Arabidopsis thaliana: one gene and its partner. The protein of the gene in region 2 interacts with the protein of the main gene of each other region in a pairwise test. Each region holds a gene or a part of one and is shown on either strand. Other genes may lie near its edges.

Region 1 (7,119 bases), on a different chromosome or scaffold from region 2:
AAGGAGTCTGAGAGCGAGAATTTTCACGATACGATGGGTTATTTGACCAATTAGCCGGCGATCGTTGATAAGAGTCATGATACAACATCATCGGATCAAACACTTCTTTGGCTGGATCATAGGATTCAACCGGATTGCTTTGTTGAAACGGCGGCGCAGAAGCTGGATGATGTGGAGGTGTAGGCGGTGGTGGAGATGAGAGCCAAAACGGGTACGCTATTCCAGAGAAACCATTATAGCGAAATCCATCGGTCATCGTTTTCTCACCAAAACGAGGAAGAGACTGGTGAAGGAAAAAGTGTTGTTGCAGCTCAAGTGTTTCAGAATGTCAATGTTTATCGGAATTAGCTTCTCAATGGGCCTTTAAGGCCTTATAAGGAAAGCCCTATAATGTCACTAAAAAATGAATTTATAAGTCATTTAACTGTTTAATTATAATCACAGATAAATACAGGAGTCAATAAAAATTTACCAATTCAGATATTTTCCTAATCATATAATAAGTACATTTTATGTATTTCACATTTTGATTATAAAAGTCTCAAGACTCTCATTTGATTCATCTTAATCAAACCAGTTAACCAACATCAAGTATAATAAGAGCAAATCAAATTTGTTTTGAAAATAATAAGAGCATATTTGACGATAATATAGTAGAATACATTACACAAACAATGGCAAGCAGTTGAGCTATACAAATCCTGAACAGCAAGCAGTTTTTGCAAAGACAAGATGTTTCGTCACACAAAAAAATCCACAGATACATGGCAGAGTGGCCTTACGGCATTAAACATAACCTTTTAGAGACGCTGAGCAAGAAACTTAGCCAAAGAATCAACAGGCTTGGCTGAGTCGATACTTCCCATTTCCCGTGACCGGATTTTGATTCTTGCAAGATAATCAGCTGCAATCCAAGCAAAACTCAGCATCGCCGCATGACTGGACTCATCTGGATCTTGCAGCTCTAAAGACTTCTTCACCCACTCGGGATGGTAAGTTACATGATACCAAGCTGAAGCCTTCTTCTCATACAAGATGTTTTTTTCCTCCTCGCTGAGATTTTCATGGTCAGGGATTGTTTCCTCAAATACTTTCCTGAACTCCTTTTTAAGGGAATTATAAGAATGCTTCAGTCTTTCTTTCAGTTCGCCTTGTTTCTTGCTTGTGTATTTGGGCATGGACCAGATGTGACCCGTCACAATCTCTTCCTCTTTCTGCACCTTGTATTGCCCAAGAAGACCAATGAGTTGCCCGTCGTACAAACATTTGTGACCCCATGCCTCAGGGATCAAATCTTCAAATCCCGGTATTTCAAGAACAGCGTCATAAGGGATGGCACTTGGGTCTGTGCTTTCTTCTGAGGAAGCTTCTGCATCTTCATCATAAACCTCTTTTACCCGTCTGTAAAGCCGACCCAAGATTTTGTTCGACTTGTAAGTTTGGTAGTCTTCTTTTCCCATGAAATCTGGGTAGAGTTTTGGTTTTAGGTGGAAGGGCATTGACACAATTTTCCCTGTCTTTGGGAAATCAACTGCAGTGGCAGCTAGTTCTGCCAGTAGCAAACATTCTTCGTCCATGGCTCCATACTCACTTCTATCAGCATGAACGACGTGTGCATTGCAAATTGTGCCCAACTGCTCATTCGCCAAGTTTCTTGCAAAGAAATCGATTATGTCCTGTAACAAAAGCAATCAATTACCCAAGACTTGGCAAGCACAGCAAGAAAAAATAACAAAGAATTCATAACTACATTGGCAGAAGCTACTAGCATCATGATACTGCCCTTGATAGTAACTAAACAGTCACAGTCACAGTAAGGCATGCGAAAAATACAAATCAGAATCAACAATATATGACAAAGTTTTCTTAAATGTCATCATCTTAGCTCCTACAGGATGAACACAGTATGCTGTTAACAACCTATGCCACGCAATCTATGAACTCAGAAGCAAGCAAAAGTAATCACTACAAGCATCCAAAAACAAAGTTTCCACCACTTCCAGAAATATCAGAGAGTTATACTGGAATCACTTGTCCATTTTATCTTAAGCGTCATCATCTCAGCTAACAGAAAAAAAGTGGGGAAGTAGATATTGACCTGGTGGTTGACAGCACGGCCTAAACTCTTCTCTTCAGCTGCATCATAATGCATGGCCGGATAGCTTTTCCTGTTGGGAGGGATGAGTTTCTGATCCCAAGCCACAAAGTACAGGTCCCCGTCAAGGTCACTGCCAGAAGCTTCGTTTGTATGCGGCCTATCACCTTTCTGAGGGAAAATAAGGCAGTCATACATGTGATGCAGCTGGGGTACATCAACAGCTTCTAAAATCCTTACATCCCCTGGGTGAAGACAAGGATTCTTAGCAATGGCTACATAGCCTTTAACTACTTCCAGATCTGTCTTTGTCTCCTTAAAACGAGACCCATGTTTGGAGAAACAATTTTCTATAGACGGTTTAGAGACTTGAATAAAGCATTGGCCATGTTCAAGTATCCCTGCTTCGTCTAGGCAACCCATTAGCCACCTTCCTGAAGTAACAAAAATACGAGATTTTTCTCTGAGACCCCAGAGTTGTGCAATTCTGACTGAAGACAACATCCCGCGTAGATGCGGCTCGGTTTTTGGTTTGAAACCTGCACTAAGCATGATAGCTGCAGTGTTTCCCTGTTCAGCACATGATGCCGTGAGAACTTCAAATGCCACATCTGTATCATCAAGGATGCGGTTCAGTTTATAGAGCATGGATTCCTGCATATCCCAGAATATTTCATCCGGAACACCTAGTACGGATAGAAGGGTAATTATCTGCCGATTTAAGAACCCAGGTTGAAACCTCGTCCAGGAACAGATCTCCAAGATCGTATGTTTGGAAAAGAACTTCTTCATACTGTCTCGAAGGGCTAGCCTGATTCCATCACTTTTTGATGGCCAACGAGCAACAACCCCTTTGAAACCTGCGTAACGTATCTGATAAGCACAAGGGCTGTAGTGCACATCCAACTTAAGTTTCTCCATTACTTCGTCAGCGAGGTCAGGTGTGATTGTACCAATTCCGTCAGAGAAAACATACCCATTTCTCTCAATATCTGGAACCTCAGTGTCAACCTCGTGAGGCATGACATCTACAGTGGCATATGTGGAGGAGAAGCACAGGCCCATCCTAGCAGCACATTTTGCCACATTCTTGTCTTTGAACTTCCCCATCCATGTTTTTATATCTGACACACGTGTTTTCCCGTCTTCAGCAAAGAACCATGCAGAGCGGTCTCTCAGTTGATTGGCTGAGAATGCTAGAAAACTGTATTTTCTACCACATAGTTTAAACCCATCGGTTAATATGCTCTTCACTCTTTTAAAAACGTAGGTCTTCTGGGAGAAAGAACTTGATGTCAAATCCTTCACAATAGGAGCAACAAAGTAAGAGAGAACATTCGAATTTATGGTCTGCATACTTTCATCCATGAAAGTTACCCGCAAAAATCTTTCAGCAACAGCTTTGTATCTCCTGAGTACCCTGTTGGAGAGCTCAACTTCTGGGGGTAGGCAATAGGCTCTGGTTGGGGTAATTACTAGTCTTCTGATCTCAGAGATATCCTCAGATTGTTCATGACTCCCTAAAAGCTTTGGATTTTTCTGAATCCATTCCTGAACAAGCTTCAACCTCTTGTACGCATCAAAAACTGGTCGTTTATAGGTACAGAGATGCTTGAGAGAAGCTATATTGACGTCCTTGGGTTGGTTTCTTAGAAGATCAAAGAATCGCTCAGTCAACTGAAACTGGTTAAAGACACCCCTGTGCAATACCGAATTTACTAGAAACATGATCTCAAAAGAGATTCCTTCCTTGTGATGAATGCAGAAGAAATGATCTGACACAGGCTCCCCAAAACAAGGCTCATTACGGATACGGGGAGGCCACCTCACACGTTCCTCTTGCACCCTCCGCATCCTAAAATAATCTAAGGCTGTTCTCAGTTTATTTTCATACCGCGGAGATATGAGCACTCGATATGAATGACATCGACCAATTGCCCCAACTTGAGTAAAATCAGTGGTACGGATCCAAGGATCATCATCATCCAAGAGATCGCCAGGGACAGTATCGTAAATATCATCATCAGCAGTTCTGTACCAGACACGGGGTGAAGAAGCCAGCTGCAAAATAAGCACAAAGCCATGCAAGGTTTTATACTGCCTGACTGTTTGTATATCTCTCACCAATAACTCCAACTTATAATCACAATTGATCACAGCATGCATCACTGCATCCTTGAAAGAGAAGGCAGTGCTCTTTCTGAAACAAAACTTGCACGTGTTGTCAAAAGGATCCACCAGGAAATCAACCCCTTCAGCTCTCCAAGAAACAAAAAAATCATCCCGAGAAACCAATGTCCCAATCTCAAGTGTAATACCAGCCAACTTATAAGGTACAGTCGTTCTTCTTCTTTGATTAAGGGAATATGGATTCTTAGGACCCAAACTGACTTTTAACGGCTGGCCATCCAAGATGAGGTTGCATTGCCCTGCAGCATCCATGGCACGACCAGCTGATTCAAAAACTGCGAAATGGACAAAGGCATGAGGCTCCACTTTCTTATATTCATCAATACTGGGGATATTTGAAGTGTCTGCGATTTCAAAATTAGGATAAGACCCAGGAGGAGTCCACGAAGTTTTTAATCTGCAACGCCAAACAATTCCTACTTCATCTTCAAGGTAATCTGTGAGTTGTTTTGCAGTAGTGGATTCCCCAAATCCACCAATGCTTACTTGTGTCACAACCGACTTCTTCATATTTCCCTCTGACCCCATTTCTCCTGAAAAAGAAACATACTAAACAGAAATAACCCCCACATGATAAGGCTGATAAGAGAAAATATTGAAGAAAAGCCCTAATTCGCTACTCCGTTGGAAGATCTAAGACCATAAATATCAAATTAAGAGACAATATCGATGATTCCAACTACAAATACTATTGAAATCGATCACCTAATACATTGTTGATTGAATAATTTTGGAATCAAGCGGGAATAAATACAAAAGCACTTACACAGTGAGGTTCTGGAGACTTACACAGTGAGATCTTTTTCAATCTAATACTGGATACGAGGTAGAAATAGAAGCAATGCGGAGACTGGAGAGAGGATTAGTGAGTATGCGAAAAAGGGAGAACCCGCCATAGCTGAAACCATCTCTCGTTTTTATTTGACTTCGGCGAGTAAACGAAAGAGAGTCTGAGACTGATGAGGGGGAAAATAGACTGGAGAAGAAGTGCTTGTGCTGCTCACGTGCTATTTGTCTAATTAATGGGCTTTTAAAATATATTCCTATTTGTTTCCATTATTGTACATAGGCCCATTTAAACAACCTGGGCCAAACCAAACCGTTATCAAGAAAATACAATCGAGAGATCCGACATTGACACAGTAAAGGTAGCAACAGAGAACAGACTGAAGGAGAAGAACAATACACAAATTTCTGGAGAAAGTTTTGAAGAATGACGACAATTTCCGATCTATCAGATGATTTGGTAGGTGATATTCTTTCTAGGGTTCCATTTACATCTCTAATCTCAGTGCGATCTACTTGTAAAAAGTGGAATGCTTTATCGAAAAATCAGATCTTTGGTAGAAAAACAGCAGCAAGGAATCAATTTCTAGAGTTCATGATTCTAGATTCTAGAGTTTGTTCTTTGAGATTAGATCTTCAAGGAATCCGTAACGAAGACAAAGAAGACTTCGTTGATCCATCTATGAAGCTAATAAGTATACCTAGTAATGATGATCAAGTCGAGATATCTCAAGTCTATCATTGCGATGGCTTATTGTTATGCATCGCCAAAGAGAACTCGAATGTCTTTGTGTGGAATCCGTATTTGGGGCAAACGAAATGGATTCGACCAAGAAACACATTCCACAGATATGACAGGTTTGCTCTTGGATACGACAACAACCGTAACCACAAAATCTTGAGGTTTCTCTATGATGAAGAGAGCAACGAAAGCAGTCGAAGAACTCACATTGATGTATACGATTTTAGCTCTGATTCATGGAGGGTTCTTGATGTCAATCCTGACTGTGATATACCGTTTTATCAGACCGGAGTGTCTTTGAAGGGAAATACTTACTTCTTCGGTCAAGAAGTGACACAAGCGACGAAAGTAACAGAGATTGAAACTTGTTTACTCTGTTTTGATTTTACAACAGAGAGATTTGGACCGTGTTTGCCTCTGCTGTTTTACCCTCCCTGTCCTAGTTTTGAAACTGTGACTCTATCTTGGGTTAGAGATGAGAAGCTCGCTGTGTTATACAACCACTACGTCACAGCTGAGATTATAGAGATTAGGATTTCGACTAAGATTGAACCCAATGCGGTATCCTGGAGCTCTTTTTTGACTGTGGATATGTCACTAGTCAATGGTTTACCGGATCATTTTTCGATGTACTTTGAAGCTAAGAGCTTCTTCATTGACGAGGAGAAGAAAGTTGTTGTGCTTTTTGATAGTAAAGAGATCAAGACCTGTCGCTACCAAATGGCTTACATCGTTGGAGATGATGGATACTTCAAATCTGTCAACATTGGAGTAAGTCCGAATTCCCAGCGGAAACCAGGCAGACTTGTGTGCTCTTCTTATGTTCCAAGTTTAGTTCAACTGCAAGATTAGTCACTTTTCAATACTTTTGTTTGTTTCTTGCATCAGGTTTTCTTTTGAACAAAACTGATTTTAGTTTGAAGAAATAGTTGATACAAGTATGAGTGTATATATGACAAAATCTCACTTTTTCAAGTATAGTGTTTGAAGTTCATTTTGAAATCTTGGTTTCAGACTGAAGATGAAAATATCATCGATTTGTCTTATAGAGGAAGACTTCATTGGCCTGCCGTTCTATGCAATAGAGTACTTAAGGTCCATAGTTTACACATGAGCTTAAACTTGGGATTTGATCTCTCTTGATTTCTTTTAGATTTTGAATTGTCAAAACACCATTTCGTAGAAAATGCTAGTCATCTGATGAATATGTACTCTCTCATCTACCTCTATTATGTTCTTTATCTCAATATACTCTCAGTCATAGAAGCAATGCAGAGGCCGGAGAGAATATAAAGTTAGTAGGCCA
Region 2 (5,739 bases):
AGATATTAGCCAAAGACAAACCCAATTCAAGATAATTTAACAGATTCTTGTAAACGAGACAACACTACAGGTTCATAGAGGAGCTAAATCCAAGTAGCGTCCTAATTTTTTGTAGTAGCAAGCCAAAACTTAGTCCTATTAATCAAACTGTTATCATACCACATGGAATTTTATAATCCTTCTCCTCCAAAAAATCATAGAACTGCTAAACACTTATCTCAAAATCTCTTGTATGTTATTGATCACATCATATGCATTCAATAGGAACTCATTTACATTTCTACCTCAGTGAGCTTACGAGCCTAACTTCTCTAATTGGACGAATACCTAGTCCGCATGTGAAATTACAAAAATTACCAAATTCAGAGGACTTGATCGAAGAATCTGGGGAAGTTAAGAACCTGTTTGGTAGTTAAAGCGCAATTGCGATTAAGATCTTCCATGAATGAGAGCGAGCTTTCTTCATCAGCAGCTTGTTGCTCGTCTTCAACCTCCATACCAACCAACATCTTCATCTTCTCAATAGCCTGATTCATTTTATCCATCTCTGTAAGTCCTCTTTCTGTAGTCTAAGCTCTTTCTTCCTAGTTCTAGTGATCAGATCTCACGCTTCTTCTTCTCAAATTGTGACAGTAGAACTGAAGTATGGTTGGATCTTCTCTGCAAAATTACGCAATGTGTGAGACTGAAAAATGAAAGAGACACTTTTCTTCGTAGGAGGAGAAAAGAAGAAAAGGCTTTAGTTGTTGGGCTTATTTTAAATTAAAATAAACTTAGCCCAATTGTTGGATCCATTAAGGTTTTATTTTCTTATTTTAAAAATTTACACATCCATTAAGGTTTTAATTAAGGCCCTTTAATTAATGAGTGGTTGACAAAAATAATATGTCAAAAATATCTTGAACTTTCAAAAAATGCCAACAATCCTCAACTTTGCTTCTAATTCGCTATTTTTGTTGATTTTTTTATTTTATTTTACTCACTTAATTTTTGTTGACTTCCCATTTTAATAGCTATTTTTTTTGTTGATTTTATCAGATATAACATATTATTTTGTTTCTTTTCTTTATATCATACAACTATATGCAATTGATATATGTAAAAAAATAACTAGATTTTTTTCTATAAATATAAGATTAACTAAAACTGAAAGAAAATATATATTATGTTTAAACTAGGTATAGATATTTTAGGAAATTAACAATTAATCGAAAAATATAAGAGAGAATTAATGATATAAATCGTTTTGTTAATTTCTTCTAATAATTTTTTGAAATCTTAAGAATTTAAGACAATAACATTCTATTGTAAATAAGTGTCAAATCCATGATTTATTTCAAAAATATCTACTAAAATGTGTATATAGATAACAACTCCTCACACAAATAATTTGTAACATAGTATTTTTTTTTCTTGTTTCCTATATTTAAGTTGGTCAATTACTTGTGATTTATTTTTTTAGTAAATAATCTCGTGGTTTGTTTTCTAAAAATGTTTTAATCAAAAATATAAAACGTAACTGCCAATCACACAAATGATACGTAACACATTTTGTTTCGTTTATTCTATATAGGTTGGTCAATTATTTTGTGATTTGCTTTTAGTAAATAATCTTGTGATTGTTTTCTATATAAACATTTCAATCATATCTTTAAAACAATAATTTTTTTCGCTTAAATGATATATAACATATTATTTTTTCTATATACATATATAATACAAGAAAAGAATTTAATTATATTTCTCTATTATATAAAATTTTGTCAATTACATAGTATGTAACTTTTATAGTACATAATATTATGATTATTTTGAGTTTTATAAGTTATATATAACCTTAATACAATAATTTCAGTATGGTTCCATTGTAAACATTTTCAAAAAATGTAAACCTAACAAAATATAAGTAAAAATTATATATCTACTTTTTGTGCATTTTTAATAAGGTGAAAGTTATATTAAATACAAAAATAGCAAGACATGTTTACGTTGACAAACAAACAAAAATTAAGCAAGTCATGTTCGTAGCAATAAATTAATAGTGGGAACAATTAAGTTAAGCGAAAAAGGAAAAAAAAAGGTACAAAAATGAAAACAAAATCAAACTGAATGAAAATTTGGAGTCCAGAATCGGAAAAACGAGGCCGTTTTAGAGCTTAATAAGCTTCCTCATTTGTCTCTTCTTCGTCAGTTTATTTTCTTCCTCCGGAGTCCTGACTCACTACTCTCACTCTCCGGCGCTTTAAACTTACGTTCTCCGTCGTTTACTCTGTAAGTTTTCTGCCTTAGAGCCTCCGATCGCCTCACCGCATGCATTCTGTGCTCGATTTCTCTTTTTCTTCGCTGGAAAAATTGCCCTAATGTTCTCGATTTCGAAGGTTTTTGTGCTATGGGTTACTTTTTTCCCTATATTTTATAGTTCTTAGGTAACGATACCTGCGTCTTACTGTTTTTGTTCATTTTGTTGTGCTTTCACCGTTTAGTCGCTGATCGGAGTATTTGACTGTGAAAAATCCTTCGTTTTTTGGTTTTTGTTTCATATAAATCGGATTGATCTACCTTTTGTGCTTTGATGTTTGTTTTTTGAGCCTATGCGTTGTTGGCTTGTTATAACTTCACGTTCATGTGTGGATTTTGAGATTTTGGTAGTGACTGTGGGTTTCTTTGGTGGCTATAGGTTGTAAAAATGAGTTCTAGGGCTGGTCCAATGTCTAAGGAAAAGAACGTTCAGGGTGGTTATAGGCCTGAGGTTGAACAGTTGGTTCAAGGTTTGGCAGGGACGAGACTGGCTTCTTCACAAGATGATGGAGGAGAGTGGGAGGTCATTTCCAAGAAGAACAAGAACAAACCAGGAAACACTTCTGGAAAAACTTGGGTTTCTCAGAATTCGAATCCTCCTAGAGCTTGGGGTGGTCAGCAGCAAGGGAGAGGTAGCAACGTATCTGGGAGAGGAAACAATGTATCCGGGAGAGGTAACGGCAATGGTCGGGGCATTCAAGCTAACATATCTGGTCGGGGACGAGCGTTGAGCAGAAAGTATGATAACAACTTTGTGGCACCCCCACCTGTATCTCGCCCTCCTTTGGAAGGAGGATGGAATTGGCAGGCAAGAGGAGGTTCTGCTCAGCACACAGCTGTGCAGGAGTTTCCTGACGTGGAGGATGATGTGGATAATGCTTCTGAGGAAGAGAATGATTCCGATGCTTTGGATGATTCTGATGACGACCTTGCAAGTGATGATTATGACTCGGATGTGAGTCAAAAGAGCCATGGATCACGAAAGCAGAATAAGTGGTTCAAAAAGTTCTTTGGCAGCTTGGATAGCTTGTCGATCGAGCAGATAAATGAACCACAGAGGCAGTGGCATTGTCCAGCTTGTCAGAACGGACCTGGTGCCATCGATTGGTATAACCTGCACCCTCTACTAGCTCATGCGAGGACAAAAGGAGCTAGGCGAGTTAAGCTCCATAGAGAATTGGCTGAAGTTTTAGAAAAGGATCTACAGATGAGAGGCGCATCTGTCATTCCTTGTGGTGAGATTTATGGGCAGTGGAAGGGTTTGGGTGAGGATGAAAAGGATTATGAAATTGTCTGGCCTCCAATGGTCATCATCATGAATACTAGACTGGATAAGGACGATAACGATAAGGTGGAATTCTTCTGTCTTTTACTTCTTTAATTTTTCTCTTGCATTCTACTGATCTTAGAATGTTACATTGTAGTGGCTCGGCATGGGCAACCAAGAGCTGCTGGAATACTTCGACAAGTATGAGGCTCTTAGAGCACGCCATTCCTATGGTCCACAGGGCCATCGTGGGATGAGTGTTCTGATGTTTGAGAGCAGTGCCACTGGCTATTTGGAGGCCGAACGCCTCCACCGGGAGTTAGCTGAGATGGGGTTAGATAGAATTGCCTGGGGTCAGAAGCGCAGTATGTTTTCTGGAGGTGTTCGCCAACTGTATGGCTTCCTTGCAACGAAGCAAGATCTGGACATATTCAATCAACACTCTCAAGGTTCTCTCCCCCAAAGAAATTTGATATATGCTTTTAGTTTTGTCATTGGAATTTAAAGTTTTGTTGGTCCGTGTTAATGCATCTGTTATGTATATATCTATGATTCATTAGGCAAAACAAGGCTGAAATTCGAGTTGAAATCATACCAAGAGATGGTTGTAAAGGAGCTGAGGCAGATCTCTGAGGACAATCAGCAGCTGAACTACTTTAAGAACAAGCTCTCAAAACAGAACAAGCACGCCAAGGTGCTTGAGGAATCTCTGGAAATTATGAGCGAGAAGCTGCGTAGAACTGCAGAGGATAATCGGATCGTGAGACAGAGAACTAAGATGCAGCATGAACAGAACAGGGAAGAGGTATGATTTTTCCTAGAAAATCACAAACTTGACATTTTGTATTACCTACTGATTCACATTTTTGATTATATTGTCCAACAAAAAACCTGTGGTGGTTTGAAGATGGATGCACACGACAGGTTTTTCATGGATTCAATCAAACAGATCCATGAAAGAAGAGACGCAAAGGAGGAGAATTTCGAGATGTTGCAGCAGCAGGAACGTGCCAAGGTTGTTGGCCAGCAGCAGCAGAACATTAATCCCTCTAGCAATGACGATTGCCGAAAGAGGTATATGTACTAACTAACATAATCCCTCTGGCGTTTTTGTTTTTCAAACCTAAGAGTAACTGAATTATTCCGGTTTTGATTCTTTCGCAGAGCTGAGGAAGTGTCAAGCTTCATCGAGTTTCAAGAGAAAGAGATGGAGGAGTTTGTGGAAGAGAGGGAGATGCTGATAAAAGATCAAGAGAAGAAGATGGAAGACATGAAGAAGAGGCATCACGAGGAGATATTTGATCTGGAGAAAGAATTTGATGAGGCTTTGGAACAGCTCATGTACAAGCATGGCCTTCACAATGAAGATGATTGAGACAAAAGTCTGGTACACAAGACAAGACTAAGTTTCTTTGTTTTGCTTTTGGTATGTCGGAAAGTAGGAGATCTGAGAGACTCCATTTAAATACTAGGACAAATCTAAGGAGATTATAGATTATTATCCTCCAATTTTTAGTAGACGGATCTAAGGAAGCATTAAGTTCTTGTGACTAAAACCAAGTTTCCTTAGTATTTTGTTTTTTTTTGGTAAAATTTCATATGAAAGTTAGACATATTACCAAACGTCAGAGTGAATCACAGAATGGCAAATCAAAATCATGTTTTTAGAATTTTATATCTACAAAATATATGGGTACAAATATTATTTTCTAAAGGTTCGGGAAATAATAGTAAATATCTAAAATACAGAGTTCTTTAGATGCAAATGTTACTTTGTTCTAAAGTCTAAAGCGACGTGTTGGTGTCATAAAACACTTCTACTTGAATCGCATTGGAAGAGCATCGTCACGACTCCATCACACTTATATATTTTGTTTATTCAAATCTTCTTTCAGATTTTTATACAAAAAATATAAATTAAATAAAGAATCCCATAAATATCTCTCTATCGAACTCTCTCTGCTTTTACAAATCTCAGAATCTCCTTCAGCGAATTCACATCTCAGCTGCTTTTGAATCCGCCGTAACTAAAAACAATCCTCCTTTTCTCGATTCGTTAAACTATGGCCCCGCCGGCAGGACAAACGGCGGCGGTGGCTGAAGCGGCTGGCGCCGATGGTGCTCCACCGCAGCAGCAGCGTGGATTTGGTTCCACGATTTCCGGCATCGTTAGA

The links.
Region 1: the proteins of SGS3 (region 2) and RDR6 interact in a protein complementation assay, tested with the Arabidopsis thaliana proteins (one study listed by BioGRID).

Annotation. Positions count from the first base shown.
Region 1 is NC_003074.8:18,348,393-18,355,511, forward strand, and holds RDR6 (RNA-dependent RNA polymerase 6), read right to left. Parts: upstream 5,282-7,119; 5' UTR 5,075-5,281; exon of another isoform or gene 4,819-5,074; 5' UTR 4,814-4,818; coding exon 2,099-4,813; intron 1,677-2,098; coding exon 801-1,676; 3' UTR 589-800; downstream 1-588. Other genes in the region: AT3G49490 (uncharacterized protein), read right to left, coding at 1-256; AT3G49510 (F-box family protein), read left to right, coding at 5,499-6,665. UniProt on the Arabidopsis thaliana protein: RNA-dependent RNA polymerase involved in post-transcriptional gene silencing (PTGS). Possesses ssRNA and ssDNA-dependent polymerase activity, but does not have priming activity.
Region 2 is NC_003076.8:7,940,935-7,946,673, forward strand, and holds SGS3 (XS domain-containing protein / XS zinc finger domain-containing protein-like protein), read left to right. Parts: upstream 1-1,973; 5' UTR 1,974-2,271; exon of another isoform or gene 2,272-2,677; 5' UTR 2,678-2,686; coding exon 2,687-3,649; intron 3,650-3,722; coding exon 3,723-4,014; intron 4,015-4,125; coding exon 4,126-4,370; coding exon of another isoform or gene 4,371-4,376; exon of another isoform or gene 4,377-4,472; coding exon 4,473-4,639; intron 4,640-4,729; coding exon 4,730-4,940; 3' UTR 4,941-5,211; downstream 5,212-5,739. Other genes in the region: AT5G23550 (Got1/Sft2-like vescicle transport protein family), read right to left, coding at 402-545; AT5G23575 (Transmembrane CLPTM1 family protein), read left to right, coding at 5,629-5,739.